Caenorhabditis elegans: one gene and its partners. The protein of the gene in region 2 purifies or fractionates together with the protein of the main gene of each other region. This does not show direct contact. Each region holds a gene or a part of one and is shown on either strand. Other genes may lie near its edges.

Region 1 (4,269 bases), 4.3 Mb from region 2:
TGAAATTTTCCGGTTAGAGAATTTGCCGGGAATTTTCAATTCGGCCAATTTGCCGGTTTGCCGGGAATTTTCAATTGTGCCAATTTGCCGGTTTGCAGATTTGCCGGGAATTTTGAATTCCGGTAATTTGCCGGTTTGCCGATTTGTCGGATATCAATTTGCCGGAAGTGTTTTTTCCGGCAAATCGGCAATTTTCTGGTTGGCCGATTTGCCTATAATTTCAATTCTGGTAATTTGCTGATTAGCCGGAAAAAATCGTTTGCCGCCCACCACTGGAGTAGAGTCAATTTTTTTGCTTTAAATAATAGAAAATGGGCCGTAATGACTAAATTCAACAGTAAATATTAGTAGGCAAGAATTATAATAACAGTTCAGTTTTGAGTTTAACTACCGTACCCTTACAGTACCCATACATTTAATCAACTCATATGAGTAGGGTAATAGGTGTAAAGAAGCTCTATACAAAGAAAAACTAATCTCATTCATTTTAAGATGTTCCAAGAAAATATTGGTTTCCGTTTCGCATGTTCATATATTTCCAATAACTAACATCTGGATGCAATGCAGGAAAATATTATTGCGGTTAGAATTTCCTGGAAGACGTTGGGAAGATGGGTATTTGTTTTTCAAGCTGGACAATTTTTAGATTATTTGTTTTAGAGCAGTACTTGGATTTGGGGAATTTATGAAAACCTGGAAAACTTAACAGGTAAATAGCTAAATTTGCATAGGGGTTATTTAGATTTTTTTTCGGCAATTTTGTCAGTTGTCAATTTTCCTATGAATAAATTATTTTTGCTATGCAATCTATGCAACAAAAAGAACAACGAAAAACTAACGGAAAGAAGCCCAGAAAAATTATTTAATTAGTGAAAGCGTCGAAAGTTTGGCTCTTTTCTTTTATTTCCAATTAACATATATTCGGTCAGAAAATTTGTAGACTCTATGTGATCAATGTTCTTGACTAGTGAAAAGGTACCGACTATGCATGTTGATAATTGGTAAGTGAGCATAGTTGGTACCTACAATTTCTACGTCACAACATCTTGACCGTTTTTCCCCCACAACGGGAGTGGCCTGTGAGCGTATAGAGAGAGTTGAGTTTGTAGAGATACACAGGCAATATAACTGCCTCCTACATATTTTGCGAGAGAGTGACCTTTAGCAGGTGAGCCTGTACAACAGTTTTGGAGCTGACAAAATCTGATGCTGAAAAAGAATTCGTGTGTCCTGCTGTGTGGAAAAACTGTCAAGATGTTGTGACTTAGAAATTGAATGTACCAATTACCACATGCAAACTAGAGTGCGAATTAAATTATTTCAACTTTCGGTCACTGCGGCATAACATTGACATCATGGCAAAAGTTCAGATTTTCGTTAAATTTGCATTTTTCTCCAAATTGTGAATCAACTTAAAGGGGGAGTAGAGTTTGTGGATATTTTGCTTAAATAGACTAAAACTGGTCCAAAACCACCGAATTTCATAATGAGACATCACAAAAAATTTCGAAAACTTTCGAAAAAAAAAAATACACGAATAGGAACATTGCAATCATTTTTAAATTCTTTTTTATTCTGCTAAGTTCCAGGTAACCCCAAAAAAACTCATGTAGCCAAAAATCTGATCTTCCATTTCACTTCTGTCTTTTTTAATGTCCAATTAACATTATTTCCTAATTAGATAAGAGTGGCAGATCAAGAGCAACCTAAACCAAGTTTTGCCAAAATCTTGCTCAATTTATGGCCCGACACGAGAAAAAGCTAGAGTTAGCACAGAACAGGCATATTTTATTTCTCCTACAGTGTAATACTTGCACGAAACGAAATTATTGTTAACAATGCAACTATTCAGAACCAGCTAGAGCAGCTGACAATGGATGAAACGAAGCTTTTGTCTGAAGTTTCTGGCTCATCGATATCAAGCACTTTGTGGTTCTACAACACTGTGATTATGAACAGCGTTGTTGAACGTCTCGATTTTTTTGATATGTATGTAAAGTCTTTTGATTTTTTTTAGCTTGAATTTTATTTTTTCAGACAAGTGCTCCGTAAAATTTCTTATGGAAGCCGTCAGTGCATCGACCTTATCAAACCAGACCATAAATTACTCAAAATCGGCATTCATGTTCAAAGCATTGGGTGCGCACTTCTTGAGATGTTTACCGAATCCACAAACCGAAAAGTTTCATATAAGGCTTCAAGATTATCCAGAAAATCTAGCGAGTTGGATTACGGCAACTTTTCAAACGACTTGTTCCTTATTTTGAAAAATCAAAAATCTGCTTTGGAAGAACTTAAAATGAATTTTATGCAAGTTGATGAAACCAGCGAGTCAAGTTTCAAGGATGTTACGGAAGAAGAAAAAAAATACATGGATGAAATTGAGGGGAATCCCCAGGAAACAGAAAGTCATTCAATCTGGGACCAGAATGAGAATCGATTTTTGAAATCGTTCAAAGATTTGCACGCCTCGCTGGGTCGATTGCTGCCAGTGGAAAAGTTGGTTGTCACAACAAGAAACCAAAAAACCATAGTGCAACTGCTCCAATCCGTGGATCCCTCTAAGCTGAACAAAATTGAGTTTGGAACATCTTTCGACGTACCTGCAAGTGATGTATGGAGCATTGAAGAGTTTTTGGTCATGGAACAATGGAGGAATGCGAAAGAGTTGACAATTATTAAGCGTGTTATCAAGTGTGATGTTGAAAATCTTGTTCACTTCAGAAAAGTTGACATAATTTTGGATTCGTTATCATTGAAAAATGTTATATATTTGAGAGATGTGAGTTCGAATATCTCATGTAATTTTTAAAAAAAAATAATTTCAGATGTTCCTAGTTTCACCGGACTTTCTCCAGTTCAAGGTCACATTTGTGAACAGTGACGTAAATAATTCTATATTTCAAGAAGGATTTTTGGGAATTCCGTTTCGCATAGTTACCGATTCTACAAATAATCAACCTAGCATTTGGTTTTTCAATTGCATGAACGACACAGATGATCTACAAATTCGATATTATCAAAATCTTAAAAAATTCATGTTTAATCGTATTCCGAGGGAATCTAGTCCGGCTATTCCGAGGGAATCTAGTCCGGCTAGGTGCTAGAGCTGTTGTAAAGGTCACTTCCCTGTTCCTCGCCAACGGGACGAAAAGTTGTCCCTAATGATTTTTTTTTCAAATATTAATTTTTCACCTGATTTAAACTAGGGCTCCCATGAGGTCGCCGCAAAGGCGCCTTCGCCCGCCTCAGCGGTCGCCGCGCCGGCCTCACGGCGTCACTCTCGCCTTTCACTGAATTACACATAAACTTTTATTTTCATTTCTTATATTTTTTTTCTAAATTTTCAACGAATTTTTGAAAATTAAAATTTAAAATTCACGTCATTATTATTGAAAGCGGCGAACGGCGAAGGCGAAGGCCGGCCGGCGTGAGGCCGGCGTGAGGCCCGCATTTTGCGCCTCACTCAGCTGGGAACCCTAATTTAAACAATACTTTCATGTGCATGAATCTTTTGTACGTTTAAATATAATTTTTAATGGCGTGGATATAGATATTTCACGTACTATTTTTATAAATAAATAAATTCACTTATAATAAATTTAAACATTTATTTCTTAATTATTCTCAATTTACTGTGCACCTTTTCATATTTTACGGTAAAGTTAAATGTATCTAAATATTTGTTTAACCTGAAAATATTGTGCAACATAAAAAAAAAAAAAATATATATATATACAAAATGGACGCACTTTGACAAAATGAAAGCATAAATCAATAATAAGTCTCACTATGAGAAATGATTGAATAATTAAATAAATAAAAAATTTCAAGCTGGAAACTTGCTGGAAAAGGTGATAATTGAACTTTTTCTTAATTAAGAAATTTTCTTCAAACGAATGTTTCCGCGGTATTAAATTTTTTTATTGAAGCAAAAAGCGCAGAGATCGAAGATTTTTACATAAAAATTCCATATATTCCAACAAACATGGAAGAATTTTGAAAGAAGCACATGAGAAAAAGCACCGAATAATGATGAATTTTTAACCAAAAAATTCGAAAAAAATCACAAAAATACAGAAAAATTGAAGAAGCCGGGTGATTGAAAAAAAATCAATAAATTCATAGAAGAAATTGAGCAAATGATCCGGGGGGCGGGGAATTCAATATCTTACATTAAAAAAAACATGCTAAAATGTGAGAGTACTTCGTGTCAAGACCCGTTAAATTTGAAGAGAGGATTTTTTTTATAATTTTTTAGAAAAAAAA
Region 2 (2,876 bases):
TTTTTGCGCCAGATATACGGTAGCCGGTCTCGCCACGAACAATTTTAGTTAAATGCGACAAGGTCTCGGTTGTTGCGGAATTTTTATAGAATTTCATAGTTTTTTAGACAAAAAACACTTTTATTTATGTTTAAAACAACTCAAATATAACAATAAAACGCATGAATTCCAACAAATCGATGCTACAGTAATCTTTAAAGGCACACGTCTTTTCACATTTCCTATGCTTGTCGTGTCGAGACCGTGTGCCGTATTTCTGGCGCAAAAAACAACAAAATTTCGCTTTTGAACAATAATTAAATAAAAAAGAAATTTAAAAAATGAGACGTGGGAATTGTATACGGTTAATTTCAAAGAATTCACGGGAAAATTCATTGAAAAAATTCAAATCTCAGAAAAAAAGTGAAGAGTGAACAGTTTTAGAAACCTTGTCAGTTTGGAAAACTACGTGATAACTCAAAAGAACGGAAGAAAGTTTCTCACTTTTCCGTGTCTCTCTGTAATCTCTTGACAAAGCCCACTATTTCAGGCCATCAGAGAACAGGGTCGGGAGGATCACGCCACTCGTTTCAACACTCAGTAGTCCACAGCTTGCACTACCCACATTGTTTCTCCGTCTGCGTATCCACGTCTTATGTTGTCTCTCGCATTGTCTTTCTATTTCTGAGTCTCTTGCACCTCTCTGTCATCATGCATATATACAATTGAAATGGAAAGGACAGACTGCACTAAACCGAAAAGCACGTGGTCTTGTCTGGGAGGAGAAGAATGTTGAAGACAAATCACACGACAACGTGATATGTGACGTCACAGAGGGGAGTCCCCACGTGACAGGTACTTTAATGAGACAGAGAAAGTTCGAAATGTTGAGTCACGAATCGCGAACGGAATTGAGCCGAGTGGAAAAAAAGAGTTGGAAATTTCGAGATGAGCAGCCAGCTGATTTAGTCTACAGTAATCTAGAATAACTAAACAAAAGTTTTTGAACCTATTCCAGCTTTATGAGTCATGAAAAATGGAGCGCAGCAATAAAAATATGGTGTACGAATTTCAGGAAATACTTCTCGTTAACAAAGATAGTTTGAAACTACAGTACTGTTCAAAGCGCTGACATGGTTGTGTCTAAGAAAAATTGTCGTACCGAGACCTGGTACCGTATTATTATAGCAAAAATCGCGAAAATCTGCATCTGAATAATATCAACTACATAACTGAGATCGTGGCGAGACCCTAATGAAATTACGATAATATAAATAATATTGATTCAAAACTGTGATTCTTGCTTCTAGTTGTTGCAACACATTCTGATCTGTGTCTCCCTAACCTACTTCCGATTTTCACCAAAAAAACCGTGTGCCCAACCCAAAATTCAAGGTCAAACTTATTTCCATTTCCCCGTACTAATTGTTTCCATGTCATCCCATTTCTGTCCATCCTGCGCACATAACATTGACAAATGGAGTTGTGTATTTATTGTCGAGTGCACGCTCTTTTCTTCGAGCGACATGTTTTCTCAGCTGGCTGAGCATTTTTTCCCGTTGGTTTTTATGTTGCGAAACGACAATTTCTCTTTTTTTTAAAATATTTTCAAGCCGAATTTCAAAATTTTAGAATTAAAATGCAAGTTGTTCGAATTCAAACCAACATCCGAAGTGCTGATATTCCAGAAAAGTTTGAAGTAAGTTTGCATAAAACGAAATTTCTAATTTCTAATATTTTCAGCAAGATGTGATCTACAATTTATCAGTTGTAATGGAATTACCAGCTGATAAATTCGTGATTATTGTTGAGCCGGCAGTTAGAATGAGAATTGGATTTGAGAATAAAGAAATTCCAGTTGCAATTGTAAATGTGCGTTTTTTTTTATTTTGAAAAAATATTAGGCTTGGGTCTTGTCACGTGTAAAATTTTTCAGCTACAGTAACCTGTGTATTTTTCAAAATCTGAAAACTTTTTTATAATTAAAATTTTTTTAATCGAGAAGAAATGTGTGAAAAATAGAAAAACTAACTAGATTCATAAAATATAAGTTAATTTTATGAGAAAAATATTTTTAACTAAAAAGTGATAGAATACCGGGGTACGGTAGCTGACAAGTTTTGGACGTGCCGGGACCAGAGACCGTGTTTTTTTTTTTTGAAAATGTCAACTCGTTGAAAATTAAGAATAACAATTTTCAGTTCCAAACAACCCGGCCTTCTTCTCGAATCGAAAATGACTCATATGCAAAAAAATTGACATCAGTGCTCAATGAGCAGTTGAAGCTTGATCCCGCCCATATTTTCATATCATTTGATTTTAAAGATGCAAAAAGTTTTGCAACTCAAGGGAAGACAATTGCTTCTTTGTATGAATAAATTTGTAAAAAAGTTGAAACGCATGGATTTAACAATGAAGTAAACATCTGAAAACATCGAAAAAAACAAGACAAAGCATAATTCATAAGTTATTTTATAGCAAAAGGGAGGGAGCAAAATTAGCATTAATGAGAAATAGAAACTTTGACAAGAAAATGTAAAAATAAGTTATGCTGAATATAATGACTAGAGTTACATAAATTATTGAACGGAATGTGAATAAGAAATCACACATTAATTTAGTTACAGAAAAGCTGGAAATAGTTTGAGATTGAGCTGGCTTATTGGCTTTGCTGTTGGATGTTGGTGAGCTTGGATTCTGAAATTAAAAATCTTTGAATTTTTTCTTGAAAGGCTTAACCTACCGAGTTGGGTAACATAATTTTCAAGAACAGCGGTAGCTTCCTCCAATCTCCGGGTGCTCTCATCCATAGCATCAATTTGGGAAAGATATGGACGCAGATTCTCGTCTGGAAAATAATCTTTCATAAATTTTCCGAAATAAATAATAAAGGCATA
Region 3 (7,787 bases), on a different chromosome or scaffold from region 2:
ACATTTAATTAAAAAAAAAAAAATTTCCAAAACTTTACAATCTTTTAGAAAATCTAATTCTACACAATTTTGCTTTTACAGTATGCTTCTACCTATCTTACTTGCAGAGATACACCGCTTCAAAGTTTTGAAGGCGAGAGAGTGTGGAAGAGGGAGAGAGCGCAGTGTCTGCGCACTCCCCTCCCCCACACTTTCTCACCCCGTCGAATTTGAAACGCGTGTAACTCTGTGGAAAAAAGAGGTAGAGAAACAATGATAACTGCAAAAATGTAGAGAATTTTGAGGAGAATATTTTGTTGGCTGAGAAAATTTTGATATCTTCATTTTTCAGGAAGATATAGGGGGCTTAAGAAATATTTAGTTAAAAATTCGTAAAACCACGCACAAACAAGTAAAAAATAGCGCGAGTGCTTTTTAAAGCAAAACATCTAGCAAAGGTTGCACATTTTCAAACTAAAAATTTATATTTTTCAATAAATTCAAAGGCACATATGCTCTCTGAGACAAAAAGTGATAAATTGGAAACCTTATAGGATGAAAAGCCAGAGGGGGAAATTGGTTGGTTAGCAACCACCTGAATCCAGTTTCCGTTGCTCTTGGAGCACACACATACGGAAAGGTGGACTTATTGCGTAGAGAATGCAACTATACATGCAAATAGAAAGGAAGGAACTGTGTGTGTGTGTGTTTTGAGAGCGAGACGGGAGAGGGAAGCGATGCTCTTTTTTTCCAATGATTCACTAGGTATTGGTCATTTTCGTGGTAAAACAAACAGTTTCAGACAGTAGAGTATAGGGAAATTGATAATGAAAACTAGACGGAAACATTATGAAATATCATTTGGAAAACTAAAAATTGAAAATTCAAATTCAAACATTCATTTTTCATAAATTTCATAAATGCTAAAACTCAAAACGTTATCCAGTAGAAAATCCAATTCTACACATTCTTGTCTTTTACACTACCTCTCTATCTTTCCTACCCGCCGAGTTACACCACGCTGAAGTTTTGGCGGGTGAGAGAGTGTGGGGGAGGGGGAGAGCGCAGGCAGTGTCTGCACTCTCCCCCTCCCTCGCGCTCTCTCACCCGCCAATCTTAAAACGCCTGTCACTTTGAGCAGAGGAGTGCAATTAAAATATTGTAAATTGCAAAAATGTACAGAATTTCAAGGCGTATATTTTGTTAGTTAAGTAAAATTTGGTAGAATAAGCTTCCGGTTAGATATGGCACTTTTGGCTCTTACCCAATAAATGCAGAATATCTTTGTAGAGCAAAACACTGCTCAAATACACTTTTTAGTTTGAATTTCAGGAAAAAAAAACAAGAAACTAAAAAAAACTCCGAACAATTTGTTTTTATTGCAATATATAGAGAATCAAATTCTGAACATTTTTCCTTTTTACAATATTTTTGTATCTTTCCTCTCTGCAAAGATACACCTCTTCTAAGTTTCGGTGTTGAGAGCGTGGAGGGAGAGGAGAGTGCAGGCAGTATATCTCTCTGCACTCTCGCCCTCCCCCACACTCTCTCACCCCAAAAAACTTCAAACGCTCACAACTTCACGCAGAGAAATGCTATCAAAAAGTGTTTAACTAACAAAATGTAGAGAATTTCACGGGGTATATTTAATTTTTAATTAAATTTTCGATACGATTTATTTAAAAAATATGTTTTTAAAAATAATTTATCACGTAAAAACTTTTTAAATCCATTGAAAAATCAATCTGCTTCATTTCTCCAAACCAACCATGGTTTTGTTGTTCAATTTTCTGAAACTTATGCTTTTTTCGACAGTGCATGGAATTGTTATCGAGTTTGGTAAGGAGACCTCTTCGCTGGAGCGCGTTTGCAGCCCCTTTCTGCAAAGTCTCAAATCTACTGTTTTTTTTTCAGAAAGACGAGCGGAACTCTACTCCCTGTACTCCTCAATTCCATTATCAAAAGACACGTGGAGATTTGAGAATTACCTGAACGTTCACAAGTACAACAATATACTATTCGACGGAAAAATCTTGGAATTCGACTCACTGGGATGGTTAAATGGGAATCAGACGATTTATCACAAATTACCATATTTTATATCGAATCCGGCGTTTCGAATTCCTCATATATCAAAGGAATTGTGTGATTCTAACGGGTTCTTTAATATTGGATTTCGCATTTTTCAGGTTTAATTTTTTTTTCTATTTATTCGATAATTTTTATATAATATTGTTGAATTTTAGCTTTTCGGGCCTAAAAATCTATAAAAACGGCAAAAGTTCGGTGGAGCGCGTTTGCACACTCGCGAATCGTGCCAAGACCAGTTTTAATCAATTTTTAAGATCATAGACAAATGCAGCTGTTTTTCTGCTAGATTTTATATGTTTCTAGTGAGCAAATTCATTTCATGAGCAAAAGAGAAAAAAAAATGATTAAAATAAATTTGGTGAAGCGCACTTTTACACGTGGTGTCAGGCGTTTTCCATAAAGTTTTGTAGATTTTAGTGTTAAAGTTCAAAATTTAGACATGTTATAGAGGCGTAGCGTAAATTTGAATGATCTACAATAAAATGCGGAAATTTTTTGCCCAGTAAAATGTGTCGCCAGCACACTTACAAAATTTGTTGAGAAATCTGCGACTCAATTCCCGCATTTTTTGAAGATCACACCGAAATGGGACACTCTGACCACGTGTTTTATTATCTTTTGCGGGCTTATTCACATGAAAAAAACCGTTTTTTTTCTATAAAATTTTGTAGATTTGAGTGTAAAAGTTCAAAATTTAGACCTGTTATAGGGGCGGAGCGTAAATTTTCAATTGTTTTTCCCGCCCCTTTTTTTTTGAGATCGCCTTCCCCCGATATTTAAATTCTCCAGAAAACGCTGCCCCTGCATCAAAATCAACGTTATTTTGCAGAAAACTCGCGAAGCGGGCCTCCCGTACCAACCGCAATGTGCCACGTGTCATCCGATAATTGAAGGTCTCCATCAAATGTACTACGTATTCCCGGAACGTGATTTCACTCAGATTTTCACGAAATTGACGATCGGCTCTCGAAAAATCAATAATTTATTGCACTATTGTAGTCGGGAGGATTGTGAACAGGAGCCACGTGTCTCGAATTTTCAGGATTACTTGAGAATTAATAGTGAGTGTATTATTTAACTTGGCTGAAAATTAGACGAACTAGCTGAAATTACCCTCAAAGTATCAGAAATTTATTTCTGAATTCAATGAGTCTAGTTAAGCATAGCATACATATCACAAGCCTTCATTATCTCTCAAGGGTACTCCTAAGGTGCTTAGTAGGTACAGTGCACCCAACAGCTACTTTTTTATAGAAAACTAGTATTGGAATTGGAATCAGCATACCAAAAAACCTATGGATCTATAATTTTATCATGATATCTCAAAAGTTGAGTGCAAAAGAGCAAAAAGTTGAAAAATCGACCGCCCAACTGCTATGGGACCCCCCCCCTGCGATTTTCGACAATTTCGCCGAAAATTCTCATTTTTTCAAGAAGCATAAAATTTTTCAGTTTCAAAAATACATTTAATGTAGTAATTTGGTGGTGTAATTTTTGTTTTTCATATCATCGAAATAACTGGAAACCTGCAAAAGCTTGATTTTCAACTTTTTATGACCTTTAAGCCCGACATGAAGCTACTGAGCGGGCTATTTTTTTAAGTTGTAAATGGCTTTTAGCAAGTTTTTTGGTGCCACTTGGTGTTTAAGCTCGTATCTGAGCAGCCGATGGAGCTTTCTTTACAAAATTTTACAGGCTATTTTGCTTAAAAATCCACAAATCATGCACCATAAACAATAGCTTCATCATACTTAAAATAATGTAGTACCATTAAAAACCCTAAGCTTAGTACTTTTGAAGCTTGTATAGTTTATCTAGAACTAGCTTATATCTGTAAATCATCCCGAAATTGAGCCAAATTAACTGAAAATTATTGTGAGCACATTTTTGATTCCAGTCCCTGTGACGCCGTTTTCCTTTTTATATCTTTTGCCAAACTACACCTTCCACAGACCTGCATTTTGGAAAGGTGACAAGATGGAGTGGAGAGCATGGAGCCACTGAAACCGACAGAGAAGCTATAGGGCTCCCCAATGGAGAGCTGGCGGTTGGTTTCCAGGACTTTACTCTCTGAAAAACTCAAAAATTTACAGATTCATTCTCGAAAAATTGAAGGATTTACTACAATGTGTGGAATTGAGTTGAATGGTAAAATTGTGAGCAGCTATAACTTTGTGAATGAGGATATTATTGGGGACGGAGAGCAGAATGGTAAGCTTTATTGACTTTATCGTATAGAAATTCAAATTCTGATTCTTTCTTCGTTTTCCATGATTTCTCTATCTCTACTCCCCGCCGAGATATACCCCGCTTTGAAGTTTTATTAGCGAGAGAGCGCGGAGGAGGGGGAGAGTGCAGACACTGCCAGCGCTCTCCTTCTCCTCTACACTCTCGCATTGGGAAAACTTTGAAAGCTTGTAACTTTGCGCAGAGGAATGCTATCAAAGAGTTGTCAACTGCCGAAATGTATAGAATTTTAATGAGCATATTTTGTTAGTTGGCAACTTTTTCGTGTGATCATTTTTTAAGGAAAAAACTCAGAAATTCCAAAATCCATATAACGTTCTTTATGGATCCCTAGTTAACAACCCTTTCATTTTAATTTATCAGGAAGATATCAAAATTCTGGCAATTAGTTGACAGATGACAAAATATAGAGAATTCCATTGAAAATACAGTTTCAGATAAAATCTTCACCTACGAAAACTACGAGTCTCTGGAAATTTCAATAAACTCTGTGAACGACACTAAGAACAATATTCAATTGTTCATCTCCTGGGATGATTGGGGTTGCTGTTCGGCGTGCTGCTGTCCCACCTCAATCTGTGGACATGATTATGAGACTGCTAGTGATTGGTCAGTTTTCACCTCTTATTTTTAGTACATATTTAAAATTTTCAATGAAAATCAATATTCCGCTCGCACCCGAGTTGGGCATTTGTCGATTAGGAAGTGGAAAATGGAAAAGGAAGCGCAGGTAAGATGGAAGTTATTTGAAGTGGCTGTAGCTTTGTAATAGTACAAGCTACCAAATAGTTATCAACTGACAAGTTGTAGGAAATTAATTTCTCTACAGATTACCAACTTTTTGATAGCTAGGTAACTTTGCGGAGATACAGGAGTTCCTCCAAGATAGTTCGAAAGCTTTCTAGCTCCGTTCAGATGTAAGATCTCAAAGTATTGTTAGCTAGCAAAATGTAGCAAATTAGATTCTTTATAGAATTAACTACTTTTAGTTAACTACTTTTTGGCACCTACAAAATTCTCCGAGTTATAGGAGTTTTGAGATAGCGCTTCACTTCCCCCAGAAGACTAGCCCAAAACCTGTCTAATCCCGTTCAGATACTTGATATCAAAAAGTTGTTATCTATGATAGCAACTTGTAGAAAATTAAATTCTCTACAAAGTGTTCGTTTTACAATTCCCATCACCTCTCACCATTTCAATTTCCAGCCCAACCAACCCAGCGAGTCACTGAACCAACTTCACAGACTGCTCTCAATCCCTCCGTATGCTCATCAGGGAATTCCATTGTTCTCGTCATTGTTGAAAAGAATTGTGCTTGAGGATATTTTAAGAGATATCCGAAGTGATTTGGTGCCAAAGTTCATTGTAGCTAACAAGGCTGCTGGGTAAGTTGAAAGGGAATTTTTAGGTTTTGAGGGGAGGTGGTTAAAAGCTTCTTTAAAACCCCCATATCTTTGCGCAAAAATGAGATACGAAGAAAGTATCAATTAATCAACTTAACTACTTTAAATTTGCTTGAAATTTCTAGTTGACAAGTTTTCTGTAGCTCTTACGGATTCGGAGCTACAGAAATCATAAAAACAGGTGTATTTTTGCGTGGGTGGGAGGCAGAATATTTGTTTTAATTAATAAAATAAACTACATAAAATTTTCTACAAATTGTTAGTTGACAACTTTTATGTAGCTCCTATTACCACCGAGATAAAGCCCGCTGAAATTTTTCTCAAAAATGCTAAAAAACTTTTTTTTTTCCAAAGTTTCAAAATCTTTTTCGCCCATCTTGTAGAGCATGAAATTCTGAGCATTTTTCAATTTTGAGATACACCGCTTTAAAGTTTCTGCGGTGTCTGCGCTCTCCCCTCGCCACACACTCTCTCACTTACCTTGCAAACTTAAAACGCTTATAACTCTGCGGAAAGCAAAGCTAATGAAATTTTGTAAATGGACAAAATATAGGAAATCGAATTCTCTACATTTTGGCAATTAACAGTTTTTTTGATACGACTGCTGTTTCCAGGCACAAATTCACGTCTGGAATGTTCATCGAATTAGAGTCCTGCAAGTCGAATATTCAAAAGACGAATTGCTACGAGTGGGCCAAGTGCCACAATATTTCGATGGTAAGTTCAGTGTAGACAGGCAGGCATGTAGGCATACCTACGTTTAGGAAGACGTCCACGTGGAATCCGAGGAGCAAGTTTCCGATTCGTGTCAGCAAGTGCAATTTATCGATGTGCTCGTTGGAATGGATAATATGAAAGTGACGTGGGTTTTTGCTTCCTTAGTTCAGTAGAGCGCAATTGCAAAATGGGAGACATTGATAAGGACTCGATCATGTTTAAATTTGATTAGGAAATTATTGTCAATCGGATGCAATTGTGCTCTATCGCAAAATTTTCTGGAACAATCGATATTAACAATATCGATTTTTTATTATCGATTCCACAAAAATGCCTACTTGTTCGATAGAGCGCTTTTACATCATCAGGAGCAAAATTATCGATTTTTCAGCGTCGGAGCCCACCAACATCTCCGTATCCGAATGGATTCAGAAGTTCACGATATGCGAACCACGTCCGCCAAATGGAGAATTGATCTTCGAAAACCCAAAAAATACGATAAGAACCGCCCGTGTCTGCTGCAGGGAACCGTGCAACGTGGCGGCGAGCTACTCATTCTTGACTTTTCCACGTGGCACATGAAAATTGATTTGATTTTGGCGAAGGAACGGAAGAAGGTTCGAATCACTTTTCATAATTTAAAGTGAGTTTGGAAATTTTTTGGGAATTTTTCAGATTTTCTTTTTCAGATTTTCAATTTTCAAATGTTTCCAATTTTCCCTGAAACTTTTTATAACATTTAACAATTTCGATTTTTTTCAATTTTCAGAATTTTTCGAAAATTGCTACTAGTTGGGAAAATTCTGGGAAATTAATGTTTTTTTTGAAAATAATGGAATTTTATCGATTTTCCAGAATTTCCTGGAGTTTGATTTATTGCCAAATAATTTTTGGAAAAGTCTGAATAGTTAAAAAAAAAGTTGAAAAACGTCCGAAAAAACGTCGGAAAAATTTCAAATTTTTTTAAGGTTTAAAAATTCAAAAAAATGCGATTTTTAAAAAAAATTTTTGATTTTAGAATTTTCGGGATATTTCAGAAATATCGATTTTACAGAATTTTTTGAGGCTTTTCATGGAATTTGGAATTTTGGGGAATATATATTTGATAACAAATTTCGAACTTTCAGAGTTGACGAGAAGGTTTCTGCAATACAAAATACTGTATTCTATTGGGCGCTGGCAATTGCTGGTAAGAGTTTTTGAAGAAAATTAAAATTGAAATAGTGAGAATTTACAACAAAAAATTCCAATAATTTAATACTTCTGAAAACTTATCGCGTCTAATGAAAGTAAAATGCTGAATTTCAAAAAAAAAGAATCAGCTCAAAAATAATAAAACATTTTCAGCAT

What was found.
Region 1: the proteins of mif-4 (region 2) and R05C11.2 fractionate together in Caenorhabditis elegans (co-fractionation; one large-scale study listed by BioGRID). This does not show direct contact.
Region 3: the proteins of mif-4 (region 2) and Y54E5A.2 fractionate together in Caenorhabditis elegans (co-fractionation; one large-scale study listed by BioGRID). This does not show direct contact.

Annotation. Positions count from the first base shown.
Region 1 is NC_003282.8:2,056,716-2,060,984, reverse strand, and holds R05C11.2 (DUF38 domain-containing protein), read left to right. Parts: upstream 1-1,873; coding exon 1,874-1,989; intron 1,990-2,037; coding exon 2,038-2,782; intron 2,783-2,828; coding exon 2,829-3,107; 3' UTR 3,108-3,607; downstream 3,608-4,269.
Region 2 is NC_003282.8:6,334,730-6,337,605, reverse strand, and holds mif-4 (Macrophage migration inhibitory factor), read left to right. Parts: upstream 1-1,611; 5' UTR 1,612-1,618; coding exon 1,619-1,678; intron 1,679-1,722; coding exon 1,723-1,851; intron 1,852-2,180; coding exon 2,181-2,357; 3' UTR 2,358-2,376; downstream 2,377-2,876. Other genes in the region: blos-2 (Biogenesis of lysosome-related organelles complex 1 subunit 2), read right to left, coding at 2,639-2,676, 2,723-2,827.
Region 3 is NC_003279.8:14,692,422-14,700,208, forward strand, and holds the start of Y54E5A.2 (Recep_L_domain domain-containing protein), read left to right. Parts: upstream 1-1,732; 5' UTR 1,733-1,748; coding exon 1,749-1,818; intron 1,819-1,893; coding exon 1,894-2,168; intron 2,169-2,899; coding exon 2,900-3,131; intron 3,132-4,022; coding exon 4,023-4,117; intron 4,118-4,163; coding exon 4,164-4,281; intron 4,282-4,754; coding exon 4,755-4,926; intron 4,927-5,019; coding exon 5,020-5,047; intron 5,048-5,523; coding exon 5,524-5,702; intron 5,703-6,334; coding exon 6,335-6,437; intron 6,438-6,484; coding exon 6,485-6,582; intron 6,583-6,828; coding exon 6,829-7,080; intron 7,081-7,564; coding exon 7,565-7,626; intron 7,627-7,784; coding exon 7,785-7,787.